Struthio camelus: one gene and its partner. The main gene of each other region encodes a partner of the protein of the gene in region 2 in a complex. Links are inferred from orthologs where the notes say so. Each region holds a gene or a part of one and is shown on either strand. Other genes may lie near its edges. The genes, in order: EXOSC10 and DIS3L.

Region 1 (16,520 bases), on a different chromosome or scaffold from region 2:
AGAGAAAAGCTCGACTGACAGCTGGAAGGAACGTACCAAATGCAGAAGTGAGGATATACTAGGAAACTCTTTGTTGGACATTAAAAAATCACATGCGACTACTCAAGGGTGAACAAACTTACTTGGGCAACTCCTCTGCTATCTTCAGCAGCATGTGATTTGGTAGCACATATCTACAACACAAAGAGGTTGTGAAAACGTAACAGATCGTCAAAAACTTTTAAAAATACCTTTAAAGCATACTAGTTTGCCCCGGTTAAAAAGTCTGAAGTGACGAAATCAGTTAAGAAGAAATTAAGCAGGGCTGATCTAGAAACCCGTAAGAATGTGCTGCTAACATACGGGACTTCTGTTCAAAAGCGCAAAAAGCAGCCTGAGGTAGAACAGTACATATTCCAGGTTACAGAGTGGTTCCTCCCCAGGGGAGGACAACAGTTCAAGAGGCTTATTTAAGTATTAAGCCACTGTCTGTAACAAACGCCACCTACCCTGTGCTCTCATCCTCTTGACGCGCCATCTTGTCCCTCCATGCAAACAGCAACCTAAATGCTGCTAGCTGCTGTGTGTTGAGGTGTTTTTTCTGCCTTCTGTACAGCTCAAGGTAGGACTCGTCTGAGAAGAGGGGCTTGATGTATTTCTGGACAGGAAAAAAGGCAGATTAGTATCCGTGTCGTGCTTTCTGGGTTGCCTTGCTTCATTGAAACAGGCAGCATCTCACACAGACATAAGGGCAGTGAACAAACTCTAGCGTACTACGTCTTGGAGCTTTCACCCTACACTGTTGGTAGGGCTCTCCCCTGAAAAACGTGCATCTCGTCCGTGTGGAGGGGAAAAAACCCCACAGCAACTTCAGGAGCAGTCTGAGACGCACAGTATCTTTCAGCTTTACTGCATTAGACGGCACCCGCATGATTTTCCACAGGGCACAATGTATTTGTCTCATGATGCAACTGCAGTGAAGCTTTGAATGTCCAGTAGAACTGGAAATGTAACATCTGTCCGCAGAAACGTACACCTGAAAGCGTCAACAGGCCAAGGAGCAACAGCATTCAAAAAACAGCAAGAGGGCATCTGAACCCAAGGATTTCAGCTAGTGAAAAAAGTGACTGCACTCAAATGAGTTTGTAAAACCGTTTTCAGACACACAAATAGAAAAAAGTGTGCTTATGCAACACACATGAAATGTCAAAAGACTTTCTGTCCCAGCGAGCCCATACTCTGATCCAGATAATCCAACCAGATGAAGCTTTACCTTCAGACAGATGTCCCTGCTGCGTTGCCACACAATCTGCAGTTGAGTGGGTTGTTCGTTCCCTCTCTCCCACAGTGCCTCCCTCACTTTATCGTAGACGTAGAGCAAGTAGTGAGTGTCATCGCGGGCATACTGAATCATTTCTTCTGGCAAAGGGCTAGAAGAACCACCACAATTACAGCAATACGTTTCAGCTGCCCTGCCATACCAGCATTTTCCTTCTGCAGGACACATTAGGGCAAACGGCATCTAAACCCCACTAAGAACTAATCCAAAAATGTTTGTTTCCTTCTAGAAGGATTTTGTTTGGCAACAGCAGCGACACCCTCTATTCGGATGACATCCCGTACGCATGTGAGACAGCAGGATTGCTGTGTCGCTAATAATCAGATGGTGGAAGCGCCTCCTATGCTATTGTCACAGCTCCTCCTCCTATAGAGAGCCCACATAAACTGCACCTGAGATTTCTGCCGTCTGCAGCGTCCATCCTCAGACCCAAGCTCATTGTTCTAATCAGCATACTACTCTATCTAGTGTAAGTGACCAAATGGTTTCGTGGCGACGCCGTCATAGCCAAATACTGACTTTCTCCATAATACTGCAGTGATTAAACACTGTTCCTACTGGTTAAGTGAGCTGCCAGGAGCTTTGCACTGATCTACACCCCCTGCTCTTCCCAAGAAAAGTCAGTTCCTAAAGAAACACGGGGAAGCATAACAGTAATAAACGCAGAGACAAGTAAATGCTGCGCTCATTCACTTCAAGACCAACCTGTAACTACGGGGCTTGCAACCAGAAAGATACTCTTGCTCTAACCGTACAAACAAGGCTAAATGCTACCAAAAGGCTCCAGACCATTTAAGGAGTCAGTTTTTACCGTATCCGCCAGTCAGCCAGCTGGTACTGCTTGTCAGCATCCACATTGCAATATAGCTTTAGCAAGTGGTCCAAAGAGTGCTTGCCAAGGTTGAGGAGACGAGCAGCTTGGTGAGTATCAAACATGTTCACCAAGTACAGACCAAAGTCTTTTTGCAGCCATTCCACATCTGAATCAGCACCATGAAGGACCTTGCAAAGCAACACAAATATATCAGAGAGCATCAGTGACGCAGAGAACATTTTTAACTCCAGGCCTGCAGCACTGTGGCTTCAATCTGTTTCTAGAAACGGATTTCTTTCCTCTCTAGTCCTCATTGTTATATACAGAACTACCAAATGATTGCACTTGGGAAGTAACTCCCCATACGCATTAATGAAAGAGGCACATGAACGAACTCTAACGAAAGCGGGCCAAGAGACCAAAACAGATCACACGAGTATGCTTTAGACAACAATAAAGCTTAAACTAAAAAAATGTGGGAATTATGGTCAATTTGGCAGCTGACCTTCACAATTCCAGGGTCTGTGAAGGTCTCATTGAGAAGGTGCATGTCACTGCGCAACTCCAGTGTATCAATAATGAAGTCTTCTGTTCGGGTGGAAATCTGCATGAGACATGTCAAGCCCAGGAAGCTCCTGTAGGAATGGTGCTGAAAAAGGCAGAAAAGAGATGTTATCCAGGATCCATTACAGAAGTAATTTTATAAAACAAAGAGCACCTAGATGAAGGAAAAAAAGTAAGAGAGGGCTTCTTGAAGCAAAAGACAACCAGGTGAGCAAGTTTTCTTGTGCAGTCACTAACGTGACAGAAAGCATCAGGAGAGGGATTTAAAAAAGAATAAATTCAGTGTGAATTGTGTAGTAGTTCATACAATAGGAAAACTTACAATATTACCCATAGTTTGATTCAGCCTTCTAGGTAACATCCGGTAGGTCAGTGTCATGATTTAAATCCATGTAAGAAAGTATGTTGGAAAAAGGAGGAGAACGAGAAAAGAGTACGAAACAGTAGAAGAATACAATAGTCTCCTAGATGCTAACAACACATACGTAACTTCTAAACAGAAAAGGTAAATGGATTACCTCTAAGTCCAGGGCAAATTCTTTACAGTTCATAAGCTTTTCATTCAGTTCTACCAGCTCATCCAGTGTGCTGACAAAATGGCAGGGCGTTTCTTTGATGGGCCTGTACATCTGGCAAAGCAAATTATTAGTATCGGTACTGCCTTCCCCAAAACTCATGCCCTAAGTCAATCCCCTCCCCTCACGCACACCCTAACTCTGAAACTTGTCAAGTAGGGCCTGCTGTAAACTTACTGCATCTGCTATTAAATTAGTGTGGGCACCAACCTGGAGATCTGGTTTCTTGAGAACTCCATCCGGTGGAGAAAAATGCTCCAGTTCATACTGGTAAGGGTGAGCAAACCTGCAGAAATTAGGAAAACAGGCACACACTAAGTTTCAGTCAACTACACACAGCCAGAGCCCACAGACTTTGAGAGCTATGGCAGTTTCCATACTGACTAGAAATTTTGCCTCCGGTTAAGCGTGGGTTTAAAACAACTACAGATGCCTAAAGTCACACATAACGCAGTGTACAGACACAAACACATGCAGAGCTGCTACACATGAACGCCATCAGCGCAAAGGGACCACACAAGTGCATGTTCACCAAGGGCACTCCAAGCACCTGGCTGTCAGCTTAATTTCTTACATGTCCTGTTCAGTTTGCTGTGTCCTCTGCTGGTGGATGAAGTCTGCCAAAGCAGCTGGTACATCCAAGTCTTCAGGGCGCTCCTTTCGGTCCCGTCCGCTTTTTGTGAGGGCTGAATGACCAATATGGAACAACTGGACTGGGTCCCACACATAACGAGTTCTCAGCCCATTATTCTCTCCCCTCCACCCACCACAGGAACCTATTACAATCATTTAAGTATCAAAAAATCTTAACAAGTCAGACCTGCGGCCCTTCTGCTGTCAGCCAGATTTCTGACTCACGTGACAACTTGATTCTAAGTATTATCAGTATGTTGTTAATCAAGATGCAAGGTGATTTTGCGCAAAAGCTTGGAAGGAGACTGCTCTGGTTTCAGAGAAATCTATCATTCCCCGGTATCTAAAATACCACTGCACCAGTGCAGACTAAAAATGAATCACCAGTGGCAGAAAGACAAGCTGCCAAGACGGGAATGTCTTGCTGGTAGCTTTGATAAAGCAGCCAAAGCCAAGCTAGGTCTAACCATTTGCCTGCCCCCGTACACACATGCTCATTAGAAAAATTACAGCCCATCTGTAAAGCCAGCCGGACTTATAGACTAGTCAGCACTACTGCTAGTGTCAGAGGGACTCTGGTGATGGATGTCCAATGGTGGCAGAGAAGAGTAGCAGAATACCTGTTCGGAACAGACTACTTCCTGCATATCAGCGAGAAGATACTGTATGCTGACCAACCCTTACACCACATGTACTTAAACTATTACTAGAGTCACACAGCTTACTACACCTAAACGGTCAGTCTTCTGCTGCTGCTGCTTGTTCTTACATCCCGTGATTTCTATTCCGGATTGTGAGGACAGATTTATGTCAAACGTTCTCAATAATTCACCCAGTAAAAAAAAATAAATCTCTTACCTTCTGGCAAAGGTTTCAGAGCGTTTGGCTTGATAAAAAGTTTAGGTACAAAGGGTGTGTTGGAATTGTCGATCTTTTCCCGAAACTTAAGCTGCGGTCGAGAGATGTTCTTAGCATGAAGCAATCGGAAGGTTTCAGATTTTGTTCTCTTGTGGGATTCTCCTCCCTGTTAAAAAGCAAAACAAAAATACACAAGTAAAATTCGTATCACTTACAGCTGTTCAGAGTCTCCTTTACTCAGACCGACTCAATACTCAGAGCAATAAAATTATACGTCAAACTTAAAAATGAGCCATTCTTTTGCAGTAAGAGTCCAGTACTCGAGAACGGCAGTGCTCAAGTTCAGGCTCCTGAACTCATACAAAAGAGTAAGCGGATGGCTGTTGTGTGCATGAAAGTGAAATGACAAGTCAAAGCACACAGAATCTAGAATTAAATTTGAATAAAGAGGAAAAAAAAGGAGTTCACACAGCTACAAAATCTGAGGGAACGCTTGACTACTGAACTCCACAGGAAACACCGTAGCGTCAGTGCTGGGAAAAACGTTCAAGATAACACAGCAAACTGAGCACAGAGGCCTCACCTTGCGGTTCCAGCTGGAAATGATTGTCTGTGGGAGCTGCAACCCAGCAGGGAGGACAGGCTGCTGGTTTTTGTTCACTCCTGCTGCTTCATCCAATAAAATACCCTAAATTCCAGAAAAGGAGTTGAAAACCAAGCATCTGTTAAGTCACTGTACTCAGCCGTTCTAGTCAGACTGAATAAAGAAAAACACACAGAGGCCTCCACCACCATTTCCCTCTCACTTCTGTACAACGTGAGACAGCCAAGCGTGAGGACGGTATGGGAATGACAGGGGTTAGGAAGAGTTTCCTCAGAGAAGCAGCTCTACAACTTTAGAGAGTTGTTCTTAGGTTATAAGATTCTCGATCCAAACTGCATTTACTTTCCTCACAGGTCACATGTTACCTTCCTCTCCTTTGGGCTCACGACTTAACTGCTCAGCTTTGAACACAAAACGATACACTAGTCTAGCACGTGGCAACATTTTTAAACATAAAGGAAAGACTGAAAAAGCATTAAACATAACGGTAGCGGTATTGTCACTGAAATTCTTGTAATGAACAAAACTCACGGCAGTTGAATAACTGATAACAGCAGCATGCAGGAATAATTTGCTTACCACTCTTTCAAGAATGACGTCGTTAGAGTCAACCAGCATATCAAATTTATCTTCCAGCTCTGTCACTTTTTTGCGATCTTTGATGTGGCTGCGGCAGCCATGGTATTGCATCACCTTGCTCATGCTCCCAAGAGAATAGCACAGCGATTAGTGATCTCAAGGCAGGCGCGATGAACACTAAACTCCCATCCAACTCTCTTAAAGTTTCTACGTTGCAGAATTTTGAAAATAAACCAAACGTAATACCTACAGATAACATTGTGTGAGCAATAAATATAATAAGCCCCCGTATAGTACTAACTGTAGTACGAATTCCTTAGAAATCTCATAACTTTCTCAACAGAGAAATAAATATACCCTTTATATACGCCTCTATTCCACGGGTCTTCACCCAAAACATTATGAAACGTCCTTTTTAAGCTCGCTGCTTAAACTGTGAAGTGCTAGAAAAGCAGCTAAAAGCTAGGTACGTGGAATAAAATACCTCTTTACCTACAGCTACTCTGCAGTTTCCAACACAGGGTGCTAGTCTCCGCTGTGGACTAGAAGCTATCAGCAACGGCACAGAGAAGCTGGTGCACCCTTACCAGTGGAGGAGCCTGTCGCCTTGCGTTTCACAGTACGCCCGGAATCCAGGGAAGCTTCGGTAGAAGTCGTACTCGTCGCCAGGCTGAGGAAGCCCATTAGACGCCTTAGTAGCAGCTACCACTGTGCCAAGCGCATACTGGGCAAGAGAGATGTGGTCATCGTTAGTATTCTTCTCCAGACTTCTTCTCCCTTTACCCAGGCTAGTGTTTAACGCAGGTGCGCTCTGCCTAGCCTGCCTCAACACCAACAGTTAATTCTAACGTATAACGTCACCAGGCTTTTTGAAACGCGTAAATTCAGAGTCGTTGAGTCTACGTACACTATGGAAAACTATAACTATGCAGGTTTCGCGGGGCCAGGGGGCCCGAGCCCGGCAGCCCCAAAGGAACTACAACTCCCAGCATGCCCCGGCCGCCGCCGCCGCCGCTCCCTCCCGCTGCCGCGCGCAGGGCACGCCGGGAGCGGTAGTGCGCGGCGCCCGCTCCGCTCCCTCCCCCCCCCCACCCGCAGCGCACCTTGACGAAGGCGTCGGCGTCGCCGAAGCCGGGCAGCCCCGCGGCCGCGCTGCCCCCCGCCGGCTCCGCGGGCCGCCCCGCCGCCTCATCGCGCCTCTCCTCCGCCGCGGGGCTCCTCGTCGCCGCGCTGCCGCTCCCCTCCTCGACGGCGGCCGCCATGTTGCTGCCGCAGCCACGCGACGCCCGGCCGCTCTCGCGAGAGCGCGGCGCCGAGAGGGCGGGGGGGGGGAGGCGGTGGCGGCGCATGCGCAGAGGCAGAGAGCGCACCGCCCTCTGGCGGAGGGGCGCGGCCAGCGCCGCCCGTGGGAACCGCCGCCCGTGGGAACCGCCGCCCGTGGGAACCGCCGGGCAGCGCGGCCCGGCCCCGGCTATCGCCCGTGGCCACGAGACCCTGAGCCCGAGCAAGCTCCTTTCTTACCGCGCGGGCATCTCACTCACTCCTGGTAACTCTGCCTCCGAAAGATAGCCAACAACCTGGACTGGTGCAGAAAAAGACAATCAACAGCTCTAGCAACGGGAAAGCTTTTCAGATACCTTAATCCTCGACTAAAGGCTTACGCCTGCTGCGAAGTTGAACGCAGCCCTGTCTCTTCCTAAGAAGTGCTTAGGAATAAACAAGACGACCATCGACATTTTTAACATTTTGGTGTAATTTATTGGCACAAAAATATTCAAATACAACATGGCATCTAAACATGGCTACTCTTTGTTGTATTTTGTGCATTTTGTTTTTAATATGTTTTATTCATAAATCATAACTTTATCCTCACCCTCATGTTTAATAACCATTATTTTCTGTTTCAAGTTATTACCAGTCCTCCCCACTTCTGCCTCTTAGGCTGCTTATTAACTTTTCCCTAGTTATTTCCCAATACTGCTTTTTAATCCAGACCCTGTGGGAAGCTCCCAAGTGGTATTTCAGTGATACCCTGCATCCGCTTTGCCACTGATCAGTCCATATAGAGGCAGGCACCTTACTGCGCTTGGCTCGAGGTCTTCAGCTCTTGGATTTGCTCCGATATCCCAATCTAGTCTGAAACATGACTCCTCTGCTAATGTAATAAGCCGATAAATAATTTTCAATTTGGGGGCAAGAATCAAATTGGAAAACAAGGTAACAGGATGGTGCAACTCTCCTTCTCCTCGCTTTCGCCCCAGTTTTCCAGCTCAACTCCAAACCTAAGCGAACCCTGCTGCACGAGTGCACTGAGTTCTCTGCAGCCACGCCAACAGGATTGATCAGGGCAATAATTAATCCGCAAATGACTCAATTTAGTTACATTGCAAAGTCAGTCAAAACCCGTATATAGTTATTTTCAATGGATCACCAGTTCCCCAAAGACCAAGTGGAACCATAGACATCTGTGGTACAATCAGTCTTCACTGTCCTGGAAACCCAAAACAAGTGTTGTGTTTTAGACAGCTTGTGTTTTTCAAACAGCAGCTATAAATTGGCTTAAACCAACTTTTAATATACAATAACTCTTTTCATTTACAGTTCAAAATATTTGACAAAGGCTGTATTTCAGTCCAACTTTCTGTTTGTGTTTGTAGAAGAGTAAGATTGGAGTGCAAAAGCCTCCAGAATAAAAGGCTGTGGATACTTTGGAATCTTCTGCTACCAGAAAGGACACCTAAAGAAAACAAAGATATTGTAGTAGTGTTGTCTCGCATATAGTTTAACAAAGACAATGCTGAGAAGGACTGAAATTCCATACCGCCAAAGCACCTTTTAAAATATTTACCAGAGGAAAGTTGACTGGTGACTCCCATGCTTCTTTCCAGTTAACGCAACTCATGTTTAAAACACTACAAAGACCTGTTTCCTTAAACATCATCCCTCAAGCTAAGCCTCAAAACGACACATACTTCTATGTTTACTTTAGAACACGAGGTTCTTCACTGTAACCAAAATCAGTGATGGAGACGCACCTAGAACACCTTATTGCAAACACTTAAAACATTTGGGCTGACGTTTGGACGCACATTTAAAGGTTCAAAAATCCCCCCCATCACCTATACCAACTTACTTGCTTACAGCAGAGGGCCCTGCTACAGGCCTGCAAAATCTACCAGAGCAGATGCAACATCGGGTAAGGCTCATATATGTAACTCAGTACACAAGAAGTGACATTTTCCTTAGCTGCTCCCTGCTCAGATCATTCATTCCAGAATTTTGCAAGGTTAACTCAATGACAAACTCACCATCCAATGTAGCACTGGCAGAGATTCTCATGAGAAGTAGCTTGCTTAATGAGCAATTCTACTTGTGTGGGTACATCAAGAGTTTCATCATGAGAGAAGTCTCGACCTTTAAGATTAAAGGAAATAAAAACAGAAAAGGAAGTTACAGGTCAAGCAACAGAACTTGCTTTTGGGTGGCAAGTTAAGGACTGATTGGACTTCTACTACCGTCCCCTTATAGTGTGTGTAAGATGCAAAATTTTCAAAGATCGAGAACTTCTAAAGCTGATTAGAGTCCAGAAATTCATACTTTTTCCCTTGTCGTGGCTTCTTCCTTTAACTTCTCCTTCAAACAGTGGATAAGAAAATATTTGCGTTCTCCAATAACAGATAATTTTCCAGTAACTGGAGTCCTGGTCCTAATAGCTTCAAGTACATTATATGAGCAGGTGGGGGAAAGTTTCTTATGAACCCTTAGGAGTGTAAGATTTCACATCTGAACACTGCAAACTACAAAGCCTGGCCAAAGGAGAAATTTGACCTCTGTCAACAAGCTAAGACATTTAAAACACGAGTCTGTTTAAATGCAGTCAGCTCCGTATTTTATAGATCAGGCTCATTTGTACCCAAATTCCAGCACAGGCACAGGAGGCTTTTAGATAAAGGTAGGAAACGCCCTCCTCCAGTTATTCAGAATATTTTTAATTAAAGGATTAATACACAATCCAAATGCTAAAAGTTAGTGGCGAACCGTCTCAAATTTTACATAAAAATATGCTCACCAGTGAGTTTATCTCGAACTCTGTTGATAATCTGAATTGCTTTCTTATTCAGAGCTTCTGGCTTCACTAGACCGTCGCCTACTAAAAGATCAAAATAAAAAAAGAATTAAGACTTCATTTGAACAACAACAACGTTTTTCCTGCTATTACATCTGCCCTTCTCAACTGCCATTCTATGAACCAACAGTCCCAAATACTAGTATGTTTTCTGTCACCTTTTTTTGGAGCGGAGGAACAGGTACTATATTTCTTATTTACGCTGACAAGGAACTGATTTCAGGTAGTTGTTTCTACATCAAGATGAAGTTTTCTATCTAAAAATAACTTCTGCATCAGTGTAAAACCAACACGATTCAAAGAAACTTACTGAAGGAATGGATGGATTCAGGCACTGTGGTCCCAGTTTTCTTGTGGGCTGTCTCACCCAGTTCCACGCTGTCCAACATTTCTATTGAAAAAACACAGAAACATAAAGGTGAAACGGAAAGGCAGGTAAAGTTACCATTCCTTTGTTAACATTAACAGAGCTGTTCATCTGCTCCTTTGAAAAGCATATTCAACCGTCACAAAGTATACCGCATATCTTTATCACTAATGGAACTGTACTATGGGAGTAAACTTTTTTTTGTGCTAACACACTGAAAGGCCCGATCCAACCTTCAGGAATGTTTTGTGTAAAAGCGTAATTGAAAGATATTTTGAAAAGACGCACAGTTAACCTACAATAGCAGTCAAGTAAGTATGTCTATTTACTGAACTCTCACTGTTCTTCAGTCCAATAGCAAACAGCTGTTAAGATTCAATGTAATGCTCTTAACATTCATTCAGATGACAACTCACCAGGTTTTGCATACTAATATTTAGTAGCTCAGTAAATAACTAGCACACACCAAATTATTCTGTGGATTACACCAGTTTGCGCGCGCTCTGGAAGGGTGTTAGTCTAACTGTAAAGCAGCATTTGCTTTTTGAGCTGAAGTACTGAACTCAACACTATTTATTTTACTCAGTTATACACACTCTTAAAACCAAGTAACAATAAGCTGCTTCTCTCTCTACTTTTGAGGAGAAAAAGAACTGAAAATACTTCTACCAGTTTTATGCACTGTTAAAAAAAACGCAAACATTCATGAAATGCATCATCTTTTATACTCACCTACTGACTGACTAGCTGAGTAGGAGTCTGTTCTCGTTCGTGAGCGCTTATTGCCTTTTGTATTTGCTGCAAGAAAATAAGAGAGTTGAAAAGTTTGAACTGGAGGCTCAGTATTTCACAGTAAATTTGTCTATCCACAAACAATACAGGCTTGATCATCTTTTTCTTTTTCCAAATTGTATTTTACCTGAAAATAGCTTTTCATCTCAAGACGACAGCTAATACTAAAGCAATCCACATGATGTGATTTGTCGCTTCAGTTCAATGTCTGTATTTAAGGGCAAAAGGGTTTTAACCACTGTGGTAACTTCACATTATGATTCCTAAAACTGGGTGTGTGCACAATCATTGCTTGCAAATCTACCGTTTAAATGGACTGACCTTCAACAGACATTCGATTTCAGGCCTTTGGATTTCTTACATGAATCTATTTTAATCTGACTGATGACTCTCCTGCTATCGTTGTTTCATCCGAATGACTTACTGTCCATCAGCCTCCAGTTCAATAAGGGATCGTATACAAAGGCTTCTAGCACAGCCATGACACTGTCCTTATGTTCGCGCAGGACTTCCATCACAGTGTGACAGGTGATTCTGTAATTGCCATCTAGGCCCGTCACCTTCAGAAGAGAAAGAAGTGAATCAATCACGCTGCTTCTTTCACTTTGCAACTCCAACCCTAACATTCAGGGAGCAGGAAAAGGCTTGTGCTTTGAACTGGAACCCGCTTCCACTGGACTCTATTCATTACGAGAACAAGATAGAGGTTCATACAATTTAAGAGGCTCCTTCCTTCTGATTTATTGATGTACTGATTTGAGTAACGTGCATGTGACATCGAATTGATCACTGTAAAGTACCACGCTATTCGTGGTGTTTGGTTGACACAAAGAGCTATTTGAAATGAGGAAACTATGGAAGACCCGAGAAAATTGGAAAAATTTTTGGTTTTTTGCATCAGTGAGAAGTTGCTTTCCACAGTAACGTACTGTAAAGATGGCAGCAGATATTTTAACTTACAGAAAATGAAGCTGAAATATTAAGACCTCTGCTTCTTGCAGGAGTCTCGGAGAGATCCAACCACAACAAGAAAGTACAGGAAAAAGGGAGAAATCAGTGCCATTTTCCCAGGGAACAATTCTCTTCGTATCAGAGAGGGGATACTTAACCTCCATAGCATTTGTCAGCATCCTTGTTAACCGAAACGGAATCTTCTCCGGGAACTTCTCTCTTGTCATTGCAACCTACACACACAACGGTGGACAATTATTAATAGCTAACTTATTATTTAAGAGTTAATAAGCACTGTGGTTTTCTTTGCTACGACCTTAAAGGTTGTAATTACAAATATGAAATATGTAATATGTCCTAGATTAACGTTCCTCAGTTTCCAGCAGTTTTTAGGAGAAGCTGGATAACTGACTTGATTACACAAGGAAAACTCAATTGTATGCTCATGCTGCTAGTGTCATGTAACACAGGCTGCTATCAGCAGCTTAGATTGCTCGAAGAAATTGTATTGGAAAAGTGATGTTAGCACTTCTTTGCTTGCCCCAGAGTAGTTAGATAATCCGCATGACACCCCTTCCCCCCCCCCACCCGAGATAAAGTACATATTAATTTCTTTTGCCTGTGGGCAAAGTGAAGCCCAAAAGAGAGCCAAAAGGCTTGCTCAGGATCACACTCCAAGGTCAGCTTGCCCTGGCTTGTAGATTAATTTCTGTTGCACCAGATGATGTGAAATATTGCAGAAATATACTTCCAAATACAAAAATTTACCTCAAAACAGTCCCCAAAGTCGATATGTAGGATCTTTCCACTCAATCTGTCCAACATCAGATTGGAAGGGTGTCTTTGATGAAGGAGTAGGAGAAAAGCCAGAGTGACAGATCATTAGAAAAACGTAAATTGAATCACAGCTCTAGTCTGAACTGATATTTATCTTCACGAACGAGAACAACCAGTGGCAGCATGCCTGTCTGAGATCTTCAATCTCCAGATGAACAGAACAGCTTCCTGACAGTGCATCTATCACATTATCTTTGTAATTACCTCTCAGGATTACCAGAGATGATCTCGCCTTGGAAGACAGACAATTAATTGGACCAGAGCCATCAGTACATGCCTTGGATTTGAACATTTCTTTTTCAGTTAGGATAAATGTTTCTACTTCTTTTACTTTTAAAACATTTTTTCAGTAGAGAAAAAGAGTGAATTATGCTACAGATAAAGTAATGCAAATTGGATTATTACCAGAACAGAAGAGAACCAATCTAGACTAGGAGAAACCAAGATGCTGTTATTCATGCTGCCTTGGTCCAATTCTGATTTAATCCAACTTTCAAAGGTTTATACTTGCGATATAAAAACCTTTAAAGTCAGGAATAAAAAGCTGCTATTACAAAAACATTTGAGAGGTCTTCAAAAGTATTTTGGAAATTATGATGTCCCCTTTTTACAGTAAACCACATAGTAAGATCAAATAGCTTACTCATTTTATCTTTTTTTTTTTTCATTATTCACCCAATCTCATTTATGATGCCTACTTCCCTCCAGAACATGTCTGCATAGCAGATTAGAAAAGGCTTCGTGTTAAGCAGTATTCAAAACCCATGTTAACTTCCATTTGTTTTCAGTTATACATCTAGAGAGGTCTTTAGGCGCTACGCTTGGGGATTTCATGCATCTGTGACAATTGCTGTCAACAAACATAGCACTAGTTGTTCCTGCCTCACAGAATAAATATCCATCAGGCAAAAATGTGTGGAAAACAGTATTATTCAGCCCATTAGGAGGAAGAACCAAGAGACACCTGACCCTCAATACTTGCTGGATTTCTTTTTGCTACTTCAGAGGATAAGAAGTGCTGCTTGATAACAGTGATTTTTTCCTCCTCCAAGAAGCGGGAGATACGTGTACAGTCCTGACAGACACTGCGAAAAACTGCAATCTCATAAGCATGAAGCACACAGAAACCTACAGACTGGCTGCAAGAGTCAGAAGCACACAGAAGCCTACAGACTGGCTGCAAGAGTCAACACTACTTCCGTTTCACAGAAAGGATGGAGAACAATTTCCCATTCTGTGAGTGGGAGAAAGGCCTGAATTCAAACTTGTGGCTCTTGACCTAATTTTGTGTATATTCCTCCCAAAACGGAAGAAACTTATTTGTACTCAAGATACGCAAATCCTACACCTCATTCCCGCACTGCCGAATATCATGGTGGCACGGTTAGGTCCTGGAAGATGCTATCATTACAACTCAGCTACATCCACGATAGAAGCTGTTAGCATAAGAACAGAGCCAGGGATTAAATTGATAGGTATACACAGTCTCTGCTAGCGTTTAAAAGAAATTCCCGCAATTCCACTTACCTATCCCCAAGGCCCAAAATGTACCCAACCATTGACATCACAGCTAGTGAGCGAGTGTAATTAGTTCTTCTGTCAAACCACACCTACAAGCAGAGACAAAATAGAAAAAAGTAAAGAGGGTGGCAAGGAGTTGGCTTGCTTAACCTATTTCTGTTTCTTAAGAACAATTCCCAAAACTTCAGAAGGGTACCTGCAACAAAGCTAGATAGACGTTTCATGCTTCAGTTTATATTTTAATTTATACAATAACCAGTTGGGTTTTGCATGAAGCCAAACTATTATATACTTAGGTCAATAATGCCATAGCCTGAGGGGGTTCAAACAACCCTAAAATTAGATGCGTTAAGCCATTAAAGGGGAGCGATTTCAGATGCACTCTTCCTTCCACTGTATTATGTTGACTGATATCAATAGCCCAGCACACCCATAGTCGCAAACATATTTCAGGCTCCTGTTTATGTCTCCCCATGCACAATAATCTTGTGCTGTGGACCGGACTCTGGCAGCCAGTGTGACTGCGCTCTAAAATGCCCCTTGGTGGATACACGTGCTTCAGGGATTAATTTGGAGTTTAAGATGTGCAATTCACCCACCTCTCCCACATTCTGCAGAGAGGGCAGTTGCATGTTATGCTGATTGCCAAACATAAGCCTTTACATGTGCTGAACTCACCTCTGAGCTTGGACTTTTCAACCACAGTAGTTTGGCAAGGTCATCACCAGCTGTGTTATTGACAGCATGTTCAAATACTTCTACCTTCTGCATCAAAGTCAGGTGGTCATAATCTGGAGCCATCTATAATTGAGAAGTGAAACTCAGCAGCTAAAAATCCTCCTATGATCCCTGGTTATAATGTGAGAAGCATGGTAGTCACAAATAATTTAAAGATCAAGTCGGTATGAAATTATTATTTGCAGACAGACTAGTATGTTCCCAACACATGCATCAAGATGACTAGTCAGCAGTGAAGAATTCATTTGAAACGTGATAGCAAATGATTCAACATGCACAGAATATTTCATAGCCATATGTAATTAAAATACTGCTGAGCTAAATATGTTTTGAAGATAGTTTCCAAATACATCCTTCTGGGTTGGCACACCCTTTGCTTATTGGCAGGCAATTCCAACTTTTCTAGTGATGTTCAGTTTCTCCAGTCTGTCCAATTTTTGGCCTTGCCGCTTAGACACAATGTTTGTAAATGCCAGCAGCACGGCACCTTGTGTGAGGTGCACCACATTCACGCCAAACTCCAAACACATTTTAGTTACCAGATGGTAGCAACCTGGGGCCACTGCTAAAACAGGAAAGGAGAGACAAATAAACTTATGGCCAATTTTACCCTTTTGTAGTATTTTAGAATTTTCATCTGATATTCTTGTATTTACAACTGGTACCAATAACAACCAGAAAACAGGTAAAGGAGGAGGAGCCTGTGCACCGCTATTCTTCAGTAAGCACTGGAGTCCTAAAAGACTGTTCCAGAAAATTTGCGAGCTTTGCCCTTTACCCTCAGCATGATGCGATGTTCAATATTGAGCAGGATCTTCTTCTTCTCTCTGTAGTCTCGGATGAGTGCGTGCAGTGTGTCACAGTGGGGGACCCAACCAATCAAGCCTGAATTTGTAGACAGTGGAATAACAGCATATCTCTGGATGCTACAAGAAAAATGGAGAATCAGAGCTCAAAGTGTTGTATGTTATGAATTATTACATTTCAAAAGGCTTAAAACTACCACCATGAAAACCTGCCTCTGATCCAAATCGTCTTTTCAGTACTTGCCCTGTTTTTCTTTTCTTCAAATAGAACAGGAACATCCATCTGCATAGACTGCCGTCAGATGCAGATACTCTAAGGACATATTGTCGAAGCTTATGCGGTGTTCACTGAAGGACCACTTTTAGAAGATGCCCGTTAGGTCACTCACACCAATTAGATCTATAATTTGCACAAGATATTTGATGTGTTCATGCTT
Region 2 (15,949 bases):
ATTTCTAGATCTAAATACAAAGTTTTCTGAATATAGTAGGTTGGAATGCTATCTTATTATTGACCTATTTACTGACCATGTAGTGGCCACATTCCTCCCCATGACCTGTAAACAGAGGACATGCAATGTATACGGCAATATCTCTACGCTGTCAATCTGTCAGTTCTACAGGTCTGGGACTGCACTCTGGAAGAGAAAGAAGTTCATTATAGAGTGGGCAATGCCGTACGTGAAAGAGTCACGTAAATCTAAGCCTAGATCTAACCTATGCACACAAAAATAAGGATTCTCTTTCTCCTTATTCACTGGAACGAAGCAGGGCAGCCTGCCTCCTTAATTTTGACACCTAGGAAAGGTAACTAAAGTTAAGTAAAATATCTTATAATATCCCCAGTGTATTTTCCCTTTGGAGGTTATGAGGACAGACAGAGGTAGTAGGCTGCCTGACTGTGTAGCCCATTACTGGTCTTCCCAGGGAAACCCTGGTCAAGCCTGTTTAACAGATAATTAAATTACCTGTCCAAGATTCTTTTCTGTCTTTTTGTTTTGGATTTCTGCTCACAATGACTCCTCTACTTCATAGTTATAGGCAGAGACTAGTAGCAGCATTTGTTTCCCTCTGAACTGTCCACCCAGCTCCAAGCAACCTTCTAGGCCTAGGTTACTGATTTATAACACCATAGAACAGATGCTAGACTCTGAAAACCCCAAGCAGAAAGAGTTGTGCTAGAGACAAAGTCATACATAGGTTTTATTTCTTCCTCTTTGCCAATACTTTTTGTACCTTGTTTTTCCTTAGTTTTTTCTTAGCCCATTAGACTACTTTCTCATCGTAATGGCAGTTCACTCTCTTTCAGAAACTTATAATACTTTATGCTGCCTGCCTAAGATTTTCATAAAGCAGAATGAAGTCTACTATTTACAGCCAAGGGTGATGAACCAAGAGAAAGGATATTTGGCTCAAATCCTGCCTGAGCCACTCAGTCAGCATGTGACCCCCAGGCAAATCATTTGGCCTTTTTTGCCATAGTTCAGTTATAAATTTCGCTAAGAAGCAAGATCTTGTTGAAAAGCATTTGCATTTGACCTCAGCTTGCATGAGTAAATGCATCTGAAAAAAATCAAGTTGAATGATGCAGCAAATTCTTATTCAGTTATCTACCTCTAGAAACCATGCAGTTGCTCACATAACTTTAACTCTCCAACATGGCATAATAGTGAATAACACATAAATGCTGCACTACTTAATTATAACACAGAGTTTTCCAACGGGCTTCAAACTAATTTTCTTTCTATATTTATGTAGGTCTGTAATAAAAATATAATTCCTAACTGCCATCCAAGAAAAAAAAAACCTCTTATTCTTCTCTCAACTTCATGTAAAGTCCTTTCTCCTACAATGTTCTAGGTTAAAGTTTAATAATACAAAGTATGATAATAGCCAGAAGTATTTAGCTTTGAGAAGAGAAGGCTCAAGGAGGATTCTATCAATGTGTATAAATACTTGATGGGAGGCAGTAAAGAGGTCAGAGCCAGACTCTTCTCAGGGATACCCAGGGAAAGGGCAAAAGGTAATAGGCACAAACTGAAATACAGAAAATTCCACTTACACCTATGAAAAAGCTTTTTTACTGTGAGGGCAGTCAGACACTAGAACAGGTTGCCCAAAGAGGCTGCAGAGTCGCTGTGCTTGGAGATATTCAAAACTCAGCTGGATACAGTCCTGAGCAACCTGCCCTAGCTGCCCCTTGCTTTGAGCAGAGGGGTTCGACTAGAGACCTCCTGAGGTCCCTCCCATCCTCAACTGCTCTATGATTCAGCTCAGGGAGAGCCAGAGACATAGTGAAGACAACAGAGGCAGAACGGGTGTGCGTTAAGCTGCAGAATCTGACAGCTTAGCCATGGTTGTTACCCCTATCACATTGCCACCACTGATTCAACAAAATCAGAGAGAGGATTTCATGCATTTTTGTGAAGTATTAATAGGAAGTACTTTGACAATTATATTAAATGTGTGGTATGTAGAGGACAGTTACTAATCATCTTCCTTTTACTTCACTTAGACCTTGTGAATGAAACAGTGGAAGAAAAAAGGCCCTTAAACACATATCCTGCTCCCATTCAAGCAAGCAAAGAAAAAGGTACAACTTAGTCCACAGAAGCATAATTTATGTAGAAAAGAAGCAGCATTTACAGCTTTTTGTTGATGATCCAAACTTCTCCCATCACCAGATGAGAATTTTTCCTACAAAGGCAGTTTCAGAGGGGTAATAGGAGTCCCTGAAGCTAGGATAAGCAAGACTAGTGGAAGTTCTCGCTGTGCTTTTAGCAGAGAATGATGATCTGAGCTGCTTCATTTTTATTCCTTTCCACCACATTTAAAATCAGTGGTTAGTTAGCATCACACTAAATAGCACTTTTAAAATGATTTTAAAAGAAGCAGTCACATGGTGAATAAACTCTCACCTAGCATCACTCAAACAGAACCGTATTAGCAATATCAAGAACAAATTTTGCATAATGACCGTAATATGAAGTCATAACAGAACTATCTCACATTTGTGATGAAAGCCTTAAGGACAACGACAAAGACACCTATTAATAAGACATTCAACAGCACAGTATACTCAGTAGAGTTGGGCAAATACTGCAGTCCGTTTCCCTTGGATATTCATTTGAATTTTTAAATGGGTTTCTTTTGACTGTTCACATCCTTTTTGTGCTCACTTTCCATGAATAGTAAATGAGCTTTAACAAGGGGAATAATCATGAAAAACACATTTTAAGCTTGAACATTTGCCAAATGAAAACCTCAAATTGCACAATCAACAGTGAGCAGTACATATGTCAGTGCATGAATCTTACACTAAATTCAAAATATTCACTCTTGGTCAGTTTCATGCTCTTGCAGTTAGGAAATACAAAAAATATCATTACATAGAGAACGGGACAGCATAGGTTAAAATATTACTATACACAACGAGATGCTCCTGAATTATTTGCAAGCCAAGAATTAGTTCCTCAAAATAATTATGAAAAAAGAATATTGCTCTTTTTCTTAAATATATATATTTAAACATATATATGCGTGTGCATGTGTATACATGTATGTGTATATGTAGATATATAAATTAAACCATTTACCCAGCTCTATGAGATAATATGTTTTGCTAGTGGATAGAATATTGTTATGGCTATAAATAAAACCTTATTCATACCCTTTTAGTGAATAAAATATGAAGCACCTAAGATGCACAGCTGCCAGTCAAAAATATAGTATGATATATTTTCTTTTAGTTTCAGTATACATCTCTGAGCTCTCAAGGAAAATCTTTTGTACCTCATTTGTACAGCAAATCATAACAGCAGCGTTCCACACAGGTCAACTGCTACCTCATTTAATTTCTCATGATAGGAGCCTAAGAGGAAATTAATCATTTGCACCCAGAAATTTCTCCTGGAGATTTTGAAAGCAGGGGCAAAAAAAGTCACCTTTGCAATCCTGCTTTCTATTTACTGCGGTATACAAATAAATAACCCTTAGAGCATTATATTCCACAGCACTGACTCCAAACCTGAGCTAGAAATACTATAGGGAACAACCCCATTTTGGTAGTGGGTGGAAAAGGTGATCTGTTAGGTCTTTCCATCTCTAACTGCGATTATCGCTTGACCCATATAGGAGTCACTACAGAGGCTAAGGCACCACAAAGCATCACTTCAGTGTAAGTGTTCCAATCAAATCAAACAGATTTTGGTGACAAAAAGACTGGTCAGGTGGACTTTACCACTGGGCTGTCTAAATTACTTTCATAATTTCTAACATAACAAATATACACATTATGAAAAAATAAAATCTGAAATCCACCAAATTATTGTCATCTACACATAAACTAAAATTCCTTACTAGGCTAAAGCTTAACATCCTATTGATGTTAGTATAAAGGCTATTTTTCTTTAAATAATATTTGAGATAGATACATTAAAAACTCTGGAATGAACTATGTAAAGATACAAAATGAGTGAAAAAATAGTATAAAACTTTGTGATTCAGTGATGTAACAAACTTTTGAACTACATCCAAGAAGAAAAAGGGGTGGTGGGAGACCATTACTAAATACATAGTATAGTAAAAATGAGGAATTGTGATAAATAAATTGCCTTTATGCTTCTAATAATTGTAAACATCATGTAGTTTCATACTCCTGCCATGCTTGAAGAGATCTCTAGGTGGGTTTTTTATTGTATTGCAGAACAACATTAGTTTCCAGTTTATTTTTGAGAAAAAATTGCTCTAGTTATCTTATATTATGTAGTTAAAGCAGTTTGTTCACAGAAGCTGAAAGGTTGCATTTTAGTCTGTTAGACATTATAATGGAAGCTGAAGTTGGCATTTCAACCCAAAACCAATTAAATAGTGACTCCCAGTGGTGATAACTGGTGTTGCAAACTGAAAACTAGAAAGGTGGTTCATGACTAACCAAAATACAGCAAGAAAATTTGAAGCATAACAATGCACAAGAGCAAAATCCTTTTCTTTTTACCGAAAGAAAAATAATATTAACATGTTCTTTATAATGCTATGCAAAATAATTTTAAAGCATGAATGGGATAATCCAGGTAATTATAGGCCTTGACAGTCAAACAGCAATCTCAGGTAAAATAACAAAAAGTCTAATTAATATGGGATTTGACAAAAATAACTAAAGAAGGGTGATATAACTAATATCAGTTGACATAGGATTACAGAAAATAGATCTTGTTAAACTAACCTGATATCTTTTTTGATGAGACTATGGGTTTTTAGGTGAGAGCAGTATTGTCACTATAATAGAATTCTGCTAGGAATGTCAAGCTTTTTGAAATCTAGCTACTTGTCGACACATAGACTGCTTTTCTGAAAGCTGCAAATCACCATGGCATATATTAAATTGGCTGAGAAAAGTTTAACTGATAGGTCTTACAATCAAACGTTATATTCAGATTTGCTACTAGGGTAACTGTGATTTCTTTCGCGTATTTTATGACTGGCTTGGTACACAAGGCAGAGGACAGACCACTGACCTAGATCACTTCATAAAGTCGGTTCAGGCAAATAATACATTTTTGAAAGAAGCAAAGGTAACGTTTATATATTGAGCAAAAAAAAATGTAAGCCATGCTTACATAGTATGGGACCCTGTCTAGGGTCTATGGGACCCCCTGACTCTTAAAAATATTTGAGCATATGATTGACAAATAACTGAATGTGAGCCATCAGCACAACACAAAAGAATTAATTTAATTCTGAGATGCATATACAGGAGAACAAGAAGTAGGAAGATAATACATAATATCTGTTTCAGGCCATAGTGCAGTTTCCAGTGCTAACATACACAATACAATGAGGATTTTCAGAAATGGGATTCTTTTCAGAAATAAGCCATGGAAACATTAAAGAGTTGCAAAATATGAAAAATGAAGGGAGTCCAATTTAAGTCATCAAAGAAACAGCAAAAGAGGTCATCAGCTGACACTGTAAAAGCATCCGAGGAAAAGAAATTTGATGAGAGAGCTTTCCAATCTTACAGACTTACTGAGAGGCAAAGACAAACGTTAGCAAATTCAGAGTAGGAATAAAGTGCATCTTTTCCAGCAATCAACATAATTAACCTTGGTACAGCTTCTTTAGTAGAAAGAGATTTCCAAATGAGCACATTGCTGATAAGCAGGATAATATAAGGCCACGTTCTACATCAGTTAAGCTGAGCTTCATTGACAAGCATACCCATTCTGACCTAACATAATAAAATTCTCTGATCTTTGGCATATTTTGTCACTCCTACTAACAAATGTAAGGAGATTTAATGTTTGAGAGATTCTCTTACAAATGAAGGCAAAGAATTTTACTTCAAAAATGCAACAATAAGAAATGGAGCCTGGATACCGATCTCGATTTTACGTTGCCTTTTGTTCCGAAAATAGCGAGTTTCTTTTATCAGTACTCCTTCGTTGCATAGTATGAAGGAGATTAAATCTTTAAAAGACAATAAATATTGGCATCCAGAGCATAATTGCGTGAGAACTGTACATTATACTTTTTATGATAGATTAGTGCAAGGAGCTGCATATTAATCCTGAGACCATTCTAGATATGGGCACTATTTTTACAGTATTTGGGTTTTACTGAACCAGCAATACAGGAGAAGGAACCTCCAAGAGAAAAAATAGCATTTATTCAGTTTTGTATGAGTTAAGAAGCAGATGCTGAACTTCAAAAACTGCTTTAAGAATGCTTCAAAATTTCTTTAAGAATGGAAGAATCAACTTTAAAGATATCCTGTAAGACAATCGAATCTTCCATCCTCTACCCTAGCGATAGCATTCTTGGGAAAAATATGGCCTCTTTCAAATGAAAATACAAGATTTCTATTGATAACTTGGCTGTGTGGATACCAGACTTAAATACTCTGTCTCCTGTTTTGTGTTACTTTCTTAAATCTTTTTTCTCAGAAAGCCTGTAATAGGGCCTTATAGTTTATGTAATCCCGTCTTGTGGTGGTCTGCTGCCGACTTGTTTATAGGCACAGTAGCAAACCAGAATATAACTTCCTATATACTTTTCTGTGCTTACTGACAGTCTTAAGCACAATTTTAGCTGATGAAGCCCAATTTAGCTATGCAGTCCACCTCCCAACACTGGGGAAGGGAGCAGCTAGTGGCCTCTAATAACAGGCTGTACAAAACTCAGGAAGAAGTTCCCTTGCAAGAATAAAACTCAGCAGTTGCTTTGCCAGGACAGAAGTAAGGTATATCATAAAGTATATCTGTGTGGTGCCAACCGACACATACTGGTAAGCAGGTGAGCTAGTATTACATTAAATGGTCAACAATGTATTACACCTATTGCTGAATACCTGCTTTTCGTTTTATCTTGCGCATGTTCCACTTCCACATATATATGTCTGACAACAACCTACGTGATATTTTACTTCTACATCAGTTGCTTAGGTTAATTGTTTCCAGCTATTTGTCAGATGAGTCAGGCTTCAAGTCATGAGAAATCTGAGCTAGAAGCTGATACTCCCCAATGACCTGAAAGTTTTCTTTGCCAAAATACTGAGCAACTTCTATCAAAAGGTACTATATTGAAATTCTGCATTGCACCTCCTGACCTTTTTATAAGTAGGGAGACTTCCCGAGAGGCTCATGCTTCCCAGCATAGGCAACAACAAACATGTAACTGAACTTTCTAGAGAGAGTTCTCTGACTCATTTAAAACACAAGCTTTTCTAGTGCTTACTAGCGTTATCCAAGGCAGTAACTCTGAAGTAAGGAGAATACTCTATGAAAATAAAGAAATATTTGTACTATTTTATTTTCAACTGTTCTACCACATTTTGTTTCTTGGACACTTAGAGAAGGAAAAACTTCAGGAGGAAATTTATGTCTCACTGCTTTGCAGCTGTGCTGCACTCCACTTTCATTTTTCAACATGCAATGAGATCTTACAATATTGCATTTTTAAACATTTTAGCAGCTTTAAAAAAAAAAAAAACAATTAAGGATGATCTTGTTATCCTGGAAGTTTTGGCTCTCCCTCTACCCTGCAGCTTCACCCTGCAGAAACTTCTTGCCACGTATAAAACCAATTCCCAGATGATCTATCTCAAATCTCATTAGGCCAAACTCAATTGTTAGATGAAGTGTAAGTAGCTCCTTTTGGCTTTACTGACTCAACTCTAAACTGACTTTTACTTGTAAGAGAATGCTCTTGGGTGGTGGTGGGGGGAAATGGTGAGAATTTTAAAAACTGTCCATTTTAGAAATAAGCATGCAGCTACTCAGTAGTATCAGCATTAAATGAACTTAGCCCAAAGGTCTGGCATTTCTCTCTGTGAAACAGTGAACAAATTAGAGCACTGCTCTCAGTCACTTTCATTTAATTAGCCTTCATTTTATTACAGTCACTGAAGGACACTGAGTAGGCATGCAGGCCTGCGTTCTTCACTGTGTTACAGCAATCAGCAGCTACAGTGTTTCAAACTGAATTCAGTGACTTTTCTCTCAAATGTTATATTTTTCATTCCTTTTCTGTCACTACCGTTTATTTCATCTTTGTTCATACTGTAGAAGAGCTCTGTCATTTTGGTCTCCACCCCCCCTCCTCTCCTGCTTACATAATATGTCTAAAATCATCCTGACTAAGAAAAACAAGTCTACATTTTGGTCGTCTCTCACCAAGTTGTACTACCTCCTCCTCCTCATATGTTTGCGGACTTGGCTTCTGAAAATCAATTTTCTACAGATAGATGGCACTTCCATTTCCTGCCACCAACTGATTACTTAAAAATATTAGTCACTGAAGATACGCGTTTTATAAAATATGTGAAAAATAAGCAATAGAACAAACAGGAACATAGAGTGAAACACTGCCTTGGTTCTTTCCCACTGTCCCTTGGTTCTTTCTTCTCATAAGGACAAATACTAGATAGCTTACACCATGTATGTATTTCAAGTGAGGTTATGATAGATGCAATTCTGAGAAAGTATTACTGCTTTTTTATATTTAGAATAATCATCGCCAATAGGTTACACCAACATCATTGCAGCCTCATATGCAGAGCGCTGACTCAGACTCAGAAACAATGAGTTGTATTCATCACCCTGCCACTGCTTTTCCGTTTGATCATGGGCAAGCACTTCATCTTTCAGGGCCTCAGTGTTCCCATTTGTAAAATATAAAGGGCAATAATGGTCTCTACAGTAAAATTATTTGACTTGGGGCTTTTGTGCACTCCTCACTCACCCTAGCCACATTCCCCATCTTAGCACCCCTGGTGCTGGGAGGTGACCAAGCGAAACCAGATGATCTGAGAAACGGATCTGGGGCTGTGCCTGGAATAGGCTATGAAAGACCATGACGGTTCACATGAGCATTTATGCAGGACTACAGTTTAGATACAGCAAGACAGCCTCTTCTTATTTTTCCTAGACACAGAAACAGAAAAATTCACCATGTATCTTCACCACCACCACCCTCAGGCCACACAATCCACCCTAACAGAGGGCAAATTCTTCCCATTTGCCTTCCAAGGGACATCCCAGCCACTTTTTCAGTCTTTCCTCCACAGGCCCAAACCCTCTCAGTTTTACCTCACCGAGAGGAGAGCTATCCTCCCTGCTCACCCAGGCGCACAACCTGGGGCTCCAACGAACCCTGGTCCTCGCCAGGCTCCCCCTCAGCGCTGCTCCTAGCTCCGCCTCGAGGCTCGTCACCTCCCCTCAGCCCCCAGCTTGCCGCTGGCCCCTCACAGCTGCCCCGCTGCCCTCGGCTCGCTCCCGCCTCTCCCCTCAGAGCCGCCCCGCTGCCCTCGGCTCGCTCCCGCCTCTCCCCTCAGAGCCGCCCCGATGCCCTCGGCTCGCTCCCGCCTCTCCCCTCAGCGTCGCCTCTGCCCTCACCACGACCCCGCTGCCTCGGCTCGCTCCCGCCTCTCCCCTCAGCACCACCCCGCTGCCCTCGGCTCGCTCCCGCCTCTCCCCTCAGAGCCGCCCCGATGCCCTCGGCTCGCTCCCGCCTCTCCCCTCAGCGTCGCCTCTGCCCTCACCACGACCCCGCTGCCTCGGCTCGCTCCCGCCTCTCCCCTCAGAGCCGCCCCGCTGCCCTCGGCTCGCTCCCGCCTCTCCCCTCAGAGCCGCCCCGCTGCCCTCGGCTCGCTCCCGCCTCTCCCCTCAGAGCCGCCCCGCTGCCCTCGGCTCGCTCCCGCCTCTCCCCTCAGAGCCGCCCCGCTGCCCTCGGCTCGCTCCCGCCTCTCCCCTCAGAGCCGCCCCGCTGCCCTCGGCTCGTTCCCGCCTCTCCCGTCAGCACCGCCCCGTTCCCTCAGCCCGCTCCCACCTCGCCCCCGCCAGCTCCGCCGCCCCGCTCGCTCTCCTGCCCGCCCTCCTGCTCCCCGCCCCTCGCTCAGGGGGAGGCCCTGCCTCTCACGGTCGCACCGCCCCCCGCGCCATGCGCAGCGGCCGCGGAGCGCCGGGCCTGGCCTAGCGGCGGCGGCCGCCGCTTCCCGCCGCCGCGATGCAACGCACGGAGAAAGTGCTGCAGCTGCGGGGCCAGCAGGGCCGCTCGGTGCGCGTCGTGCGGGAGCACTACGTGCGCCCCGACGTGCCGTGCCGCAGCGCGCTGTGCCGCGCCGCCTGCCCGCGCGGTGAGGGGGCTGCGGGGGGGAGCGGCCGCCGGGGCTGCGCGGGGCGGAGGCGGCGGGAGGAGGTGGCAGGGCGGCCGGGAGCCGTTTGCCTCGGCGTGGAAAGCGGCCGGGGCCGGGCGCGGAGGTTGGTGCGTGCGCTGAAGCGATCCCCGGGCCGGGCGGGCCGGCGGCGCGGCCTGACAGGACCCGGCGGGAGAGGGCGCGGAGAAGCGGAGCAAGGGGCAGCGAGTAACGGGCGTGAGAAGAGCAGGACGAGAGAGTGGAGGACGTGTTGTAGTGAGGCAGGGGCGAGGGAGGAGAGGAGAGGGGGTGAGGCGCGGGGTTCGGGAGGCGGGTGGCGCCGGCCGGCAGAGAACGGGAGCGCTCATGGCACATCTCGCCCCGCCGCCGCCCCAGGGCGGCCTGTCCACGGTGCTGAGCACCGCCACATAGCGGCGGGGGAAATCAGGCAGCGCCAAGTCAGGGGTATAGCGAAAATACACCCTCAGAGCAAAATTCGCACGAAAATGAGGTGCTAAGAAAAAAGGAGAGCTGACAAGGGAAGTTGATTGTTGCAGGATTTGGCTGTAAACAGTTATTTTACAGACGCTGGTAAAACTCTAAAGGACCATGCAAGTTTAACGGGGGGAACACTCATGTTTTTGTGCTTCCTTTTTTAAAGCTCTTTCAAAAATGGATTAATTCCTGCAGGGCGTTGAGTTCCTGTGTAGCTTGAACTAAATTCTCTACGTATTTGTTGAGTATTCTTACAACGGGGCCAAGTAGGTGTCATTGAAACTTGTGTAATTCTGCGTCAGCAGTTATGTTGGTTCAATAATTAAGTTTAATTGTCCCTGCTATACCTGGGCATTTCAGACATGGGAAGACTGCCCGCTTCTGTGATTTCTAGGTTTCATGTTGTTTTTACATAGTGCAGCGCTCTTATGTACGTTATAGATCACCGTGTGATTGTTCGTTGATGTTTCTGGGTTTTTTTGTTGTTAAATAACACAATTTATTTGGTGCAAGAAAATAAATGACAACCAACACAACGTATAACACGTTTAAATCAACCAAATTATCTGCTGGCCTAAAAGAAAAGGCTAAGAATTTTAACTGTTTTTCTTCTGAACTGTAGTTGGCATAGATGTTGTCACCTCTGTTTTGTTTTTAGATGCCTGTTGTGATGGAGGGCAGCAGGTAGAGTAGTATATTACTTCTATCTAAGATGTCAGGACAAGGTTATTGTTACTGCTCTGTAATGGGTCTGGGAGCTGTTGAGATGTGTCATGTATTAATTCCTTTCCTTATGAATTCCCTAAGGATAAGTTACAGGCAAATACCAGACCAAATTCTTGCCTCTCTCTCCATGCCTAACTTCTGGACTTAAATGTAAATTGTGCCGTAATCAGTGTCAGAGTATGTCCCTTTGTAATTATTCTAGGTAACTCAGAAGTATGGTGAACATATGTTTTCACTCCTGAGTCTATATACTGTGCCGAGCAAACATATTTCACGCACTGTGGGAGCCTGCTTGCATAAATCACATCCACAGATATTTTTAATGGCATGCTATGCCTACTTAAAGTTATTCTGATCTAGATGTGTATGTTAGGCAAGGATAGCTTAATGTGAGCAGATTACATACATCTTCAAGTGACATTTCGCTCCTAATCCTCTTCTGAATTAGTAATAAAAATTAACTTTGTTATATGCGTCCTGCCATCGTCCCTTATATACCTTCAGTGTGAGATACAGCCGCATGATGCTGTGCAGAATTGTGCCCACTGGATTCTCACTTCTAGGGATCAGAGTCAATAGACAGACTGACTTGTGTCAGCTTCTAAGAAATATATGAAAATAACCTGATTTGTCAGGGTCTATAAAATTTGAATGTAATCTGCCAGCACTATTTTAAGTCCAGCAGTTCAGTGTTTGTAATAACACAAGGAATAAATAGACATGGAGAGAAAATGCAGTGGAGATCCCAAGGAAAAAAAAAGTTTACTGAGTAATCTCTGAAATATCAAAAGCAATTAATTAATTTTGGGGTATGTTTTAAAAGTTCTTATGTGATGGGTTTGTTTTGAGATTTTGATGGGATATGATTAAGGGATGGAGTCTCTTTAGAGAGAATTAACTATGATGGTAATAATTAGATTTGAGAACCTCTTCTCTTTATAATAGCATTGCTTTTCTCCATGTGTACCCTCACGTATAACCTTTTATGTACAGATACAGAAAAGAGCCTGCTGTAAGTGGAGAGTGTTGAATGGTGAAGATAATTGCACAAAAAGATTTGCTGTGGCAGATGTGGTCTCTCTTTTTATGTGGAAGTAGAGGAAACTGGACTGTTACCTGAACTTTTCAAGTGACATCCTTTTTGTAATGAAACCAGATTTTTTTTCACTCATTTAGATAGTATTTACTCAAAATTTTTTGCTCAGTGGATAATAGAAGGGCTCAGTCACAAATTGTAGGAATTGTACCGTAGCAGACGTACCATTTAATTGAACCGTGAAAATTCTGTTCCTCAGAAGAATAGATATATATACCTTTTGAAGATCCACAACTAGGATTGCCTCGCATTTGACAGTATTTTTAAAAAAACAATATTGCAATTGAAAGTTTAAACCTTTACACTTTGAATTACATTTTAGATGGCAAATTGTTGTCAGATGATGTGACTCATTATGTTGTCCCTGACTGGAAGGTGGTTCAAGATTACCTTGAGATTCTTGAGTTTCCAGAGCTGAAAGGTATTATTTTCATGCAAACAGCGTGTCAAGCTGTGCAACATCAAAAAGGCCGCAGGTACTTACCCTATAATAACTTATTGTTATTTTAGATTGAAGTAAAGATGTTAAGTTTGTAAAATGTGTATTTAAGCACAGTATGCTTAATTTGTTTTTAAGTCTTTCAAGTGTTTTGACATAATTTTATGAAAAGGAAAGAGCTATGATCCCTTGGAATACATAAGCATCAATACCTGTTCTATTTTCACGTGATAGGAACAATATTAAACCTATACTATTATTACTTAATCAGATAACTTGTGGAAGGAATTAAGGAGACTTTGCAGCAACAATGTGAATTTCATATGCCAAAACCAGATTATGCTTCTGTTTTTGTTCCTGCTGTATTAAAGAATGAACACATTTCTTCGAGGAGCAATTAATAATATGCTTATATATCTTACCAGAAGTTAACCTGTGTATTGCCATACCATATAAAAGTGCAGTTTTTTAGGATCAAGGTCTTATATTTTTAAGGCACCAACACCTTTTAAGAAATAGCTTTTGTCCCAGAAGTGACAGAATGAGTTCCTGAACATTTATGGCTTTTTGTACTATGAATGGTCTCACTGGAAAAGGATTCATGTGTATTGTATTACAAATATGGTGTAAAATCTGAAGAATTCATTACGGAAGTTAAAAAAGCCTACTTACAGATTACTTTTTAGGTTTTATCATCAATGGTGGAATTTAAGAATAAATACATTTGTTTATGAATGACAGGATTTAGTCTTACCCTGTTAGAATTCTTTAGTTTTCCGTGGGTTTTTCAGCTGTATTTTTAACTGGAGTTAACACAGCATTATCAAAAGAAATCACAAGGCTGTATTCTTTTTTTCATTTTCCAGACAGTACAACAAACTACGAAATCTAGTAAAGGATGCCCGTCATGATTGTATTGTGTTTGCTAATGAATTCCATCAACATTCCTATCTGCCAAGAGAGAAGGGAGAATCCATGGAGAAATGGCAGACCAGGTTTGTTTTAACTAATGTAGTTTTGCACGAGAGAGTATTGTGACGTTGTGTCTAGAAATGTTAGTAGGCATTGGATAGGTAAGAGTTGGTACTCTTGCTCTAATTAGCTCTAGAATAGTTCATGATAATTGAAAGTCTAGATTGTCCTTTTATGATTAAGAATGCATCAACATCGTTTTCTTAGAAAAATACACAAGAATGTAATTAATTAAACACAAGGATAAAAATACATTGGACCAATTTAAAGATAGACAGGCGTTTTAAAGAATGCTTTAACATAATAAATAGCTAAAACACACTTTAATTGAAGTGTTAGCTGTAATGTCCGTTAGCCTACAAACAACACAGCACTGGACTCCTGGCAGTTCCAGCTTGCTTTTCACAAACTTTCACTCGAGGAACACTGTATTATGTTGCAGCTGGGACACAGGTGAAGGGCTACTAAGATGATTAAGGGACTGGAGCATCTCTCCTATGAGGAAAGGCTGCGAGAGCTGGGACTGTTCAGCCTGGAGAAGAGAAGACTGAAAGGGAATCTAATCAATGTGTATAAGTTTCTGAAGGGAAAGTGTCAAGGGGATGGGGCCAGACTCTTCTCAGTGGTGCCCAGCGAAAGGATGAGAGGCAACAGGCAGAAACTGAAACACAGGAAGTTCCATCTGAACCTGAGGAAAAACTTCTTGACTGTGCGGGTGACTGAGCACTGGACCAGGTTGCCCAGAGAGGCTGTGGAATCTCCTTCCCTGGAGATATTCAAAACCCGTCTGGACACATTCATGGGTAATGTGCTCTAGAGGACCCTGCTTGAGCAGGGGGGTTGGACTAGATGATCTCCAGAGGTCCCTTCCAACCTCAGTCATTCTGTGGTTCTGTGTATTGGGGAGGAAACACTATTTTTGCGCTATTCTCTCAGTGCTGATGTAAGGCACATAAAATGTCTTGAAAATAAAAGATTTGCTGTATATATCTTAAATGTATGCGTAATAAAAAAAAATCACTTTTATACAAAGCCTGGAAATGCCTGCCGAGTAGCAAACGGGATATGCCAGAAATCTTGTTCAAACTTTGCTTTTCTAGGAGTATTTACAATGCAACAGTCTGGTATTATAATCACTGCTTGGGTCAGATGCCAGTTGTTATGGTAACAGAAGATGAAGATGCTATCAGGCAGTACGGAAATGAAACGGAAGGAGTGTTTGTGATTTCCTTCAAGGTAACGTATCAGAAGAATAGAAGAAGGTTTCCTTTATGCTGCATCAAAATGGCAAAGCAAGTACATTAAACCTAATGTATAGTGCAAGTCATTCTGAAGTTTACATGTAAAAAATACTGCAGTGGTAACTCATGACTTCATTTATCAAAGAAAGCAAAGACGTCAATGCTGGGAATGTCATCAAAATCAGTGGCAGTGAGTAAAACAGAACTGAGAAGGAAAACAGCAGCTCCAAGGATGGAGGTCATCTTTCTTAGGATCCCTTTTCATCATTTTCCATGTTTTTGAAGAATTTAGTGCTGATGAACAATAATCAGTTACCTCAGCCAGCTGTCTAAATCTGTAGTGCAGGTCCATTCACAGCAGTAACGGACCTGCACTACAGCAGTAAATATCCATTGTATTATTCTGCCCAGTGTACTTTAGCCTTGACTATTTAGGATACTCTGATGTGCAAGAAGATTATTATTCTTCATTTGGTTGTTGCTCTCTGATACTGCTGGTATTCGGCAGGGTATGTAGATAGGAGATTTACTTTTAGCTGTGAAAGGATGTTTTCAAATCATGAACACGTGTAAGAAAAACCAAACCCCAAAAGATTCACCTTAAAGTTATATATGCAAACATGATGCTGGTGGTTTTTTTTTTTTTTGAATTTGAAGCTGTACAGAATCGTGTAAAAACTAAAAAGAATAATGGGTGGCTTGGATGGGGTAATTAGTGGTAAAAGTCTGTGAATCTCTAGTCTAAGATAGTTTCTTAACAGTAATGTTCTCTTTGTTGTATTCAGCCAAAGTGTTGGGT

What was found.
Region 1: DIS3L (region 2) and EXOSC10 share a complex: the UniProt entries of both Homo sapiens proteins name them as parts of the RNA exosome complex. The link is inferred for Struthio camelus from reciprocal best matches to the Homo sapiens genes DIS3L and EXOSC10.

What each region holds. Positions count from the first base shown.
Region 1 is NC_090962.1:6,480,784-6,497,303, forward strand, and holds the start of EXOSC10 (exosome complex component 10), read right to left. Parts: upstream 7,231-16,520; 5' UTR 7,208-7,230; coding exon 7,049-7,207; intron 6,670-7,048; coding exon 6,533-6,669; intron 6,070-6,532; coding exon 5,946-6,069; intron 5,451-5,945; coding exon 5,346-5,450; intron 4,929-5,345; coding exon 4,763-4,928; intron 3,958-4,762; coding exon 3,846-3,957; intron 3,558-3,845; coding exon 3,482-3,557; intron 3,326-3,481; coding exon 3,215-3,325; intron 2,782-3,214; coding exon 2,638-2,781; intron 2,321-2,637; coding exon 2,130-2,320; intron 1,410-2,129; coding exon 1,253-1,409; intron 638-1,252; coding exon 489-637; intron 174-488; coding exon 123-173; intron 1-122. Other genes in the region: serine/threonine-protein kinase mTOR, read right to left, coding at 8,667-8,682, 9,254-9,359, 10,015-10,095, 10,382-10,462, 11,171-11,236, 11,655-11,790, 12,340-12,414, 12,950-13,022 and 3 more. UniProt on the Homo sapiens protein: Catalytic component of the RNA exosome complex which has 3'->5' exoribonuclease activity and participates in a multitude of cellular RNA processing and degradation events.
Region 2 is NC_090953.1:3,227,621-3,243,569, reverse strand, and holds the start of DIS3L (DIS3-like exonuclease 1), read left to right. Parts: upstream 1-9,933; 5' UTR 9,934-10,051; coding exon 10,052-10,181; intron 10,182-10,248; exon of another isoform or gene 10,249-10,305; intron 10,306-12,820; coding exon 12,821-12,974; intron 12,975-13,803; coding exon 13,804-13,932; intron 13,933-15,009; coding exon 15,010-15,145; intron 15,146-15,949. UniProt on the Homo sapiens protein: Catalytic component of the RNA exosome complex which has 3'->5' exoribonuclease activity and participates in a multitude of cellular RNA processing and degradation events.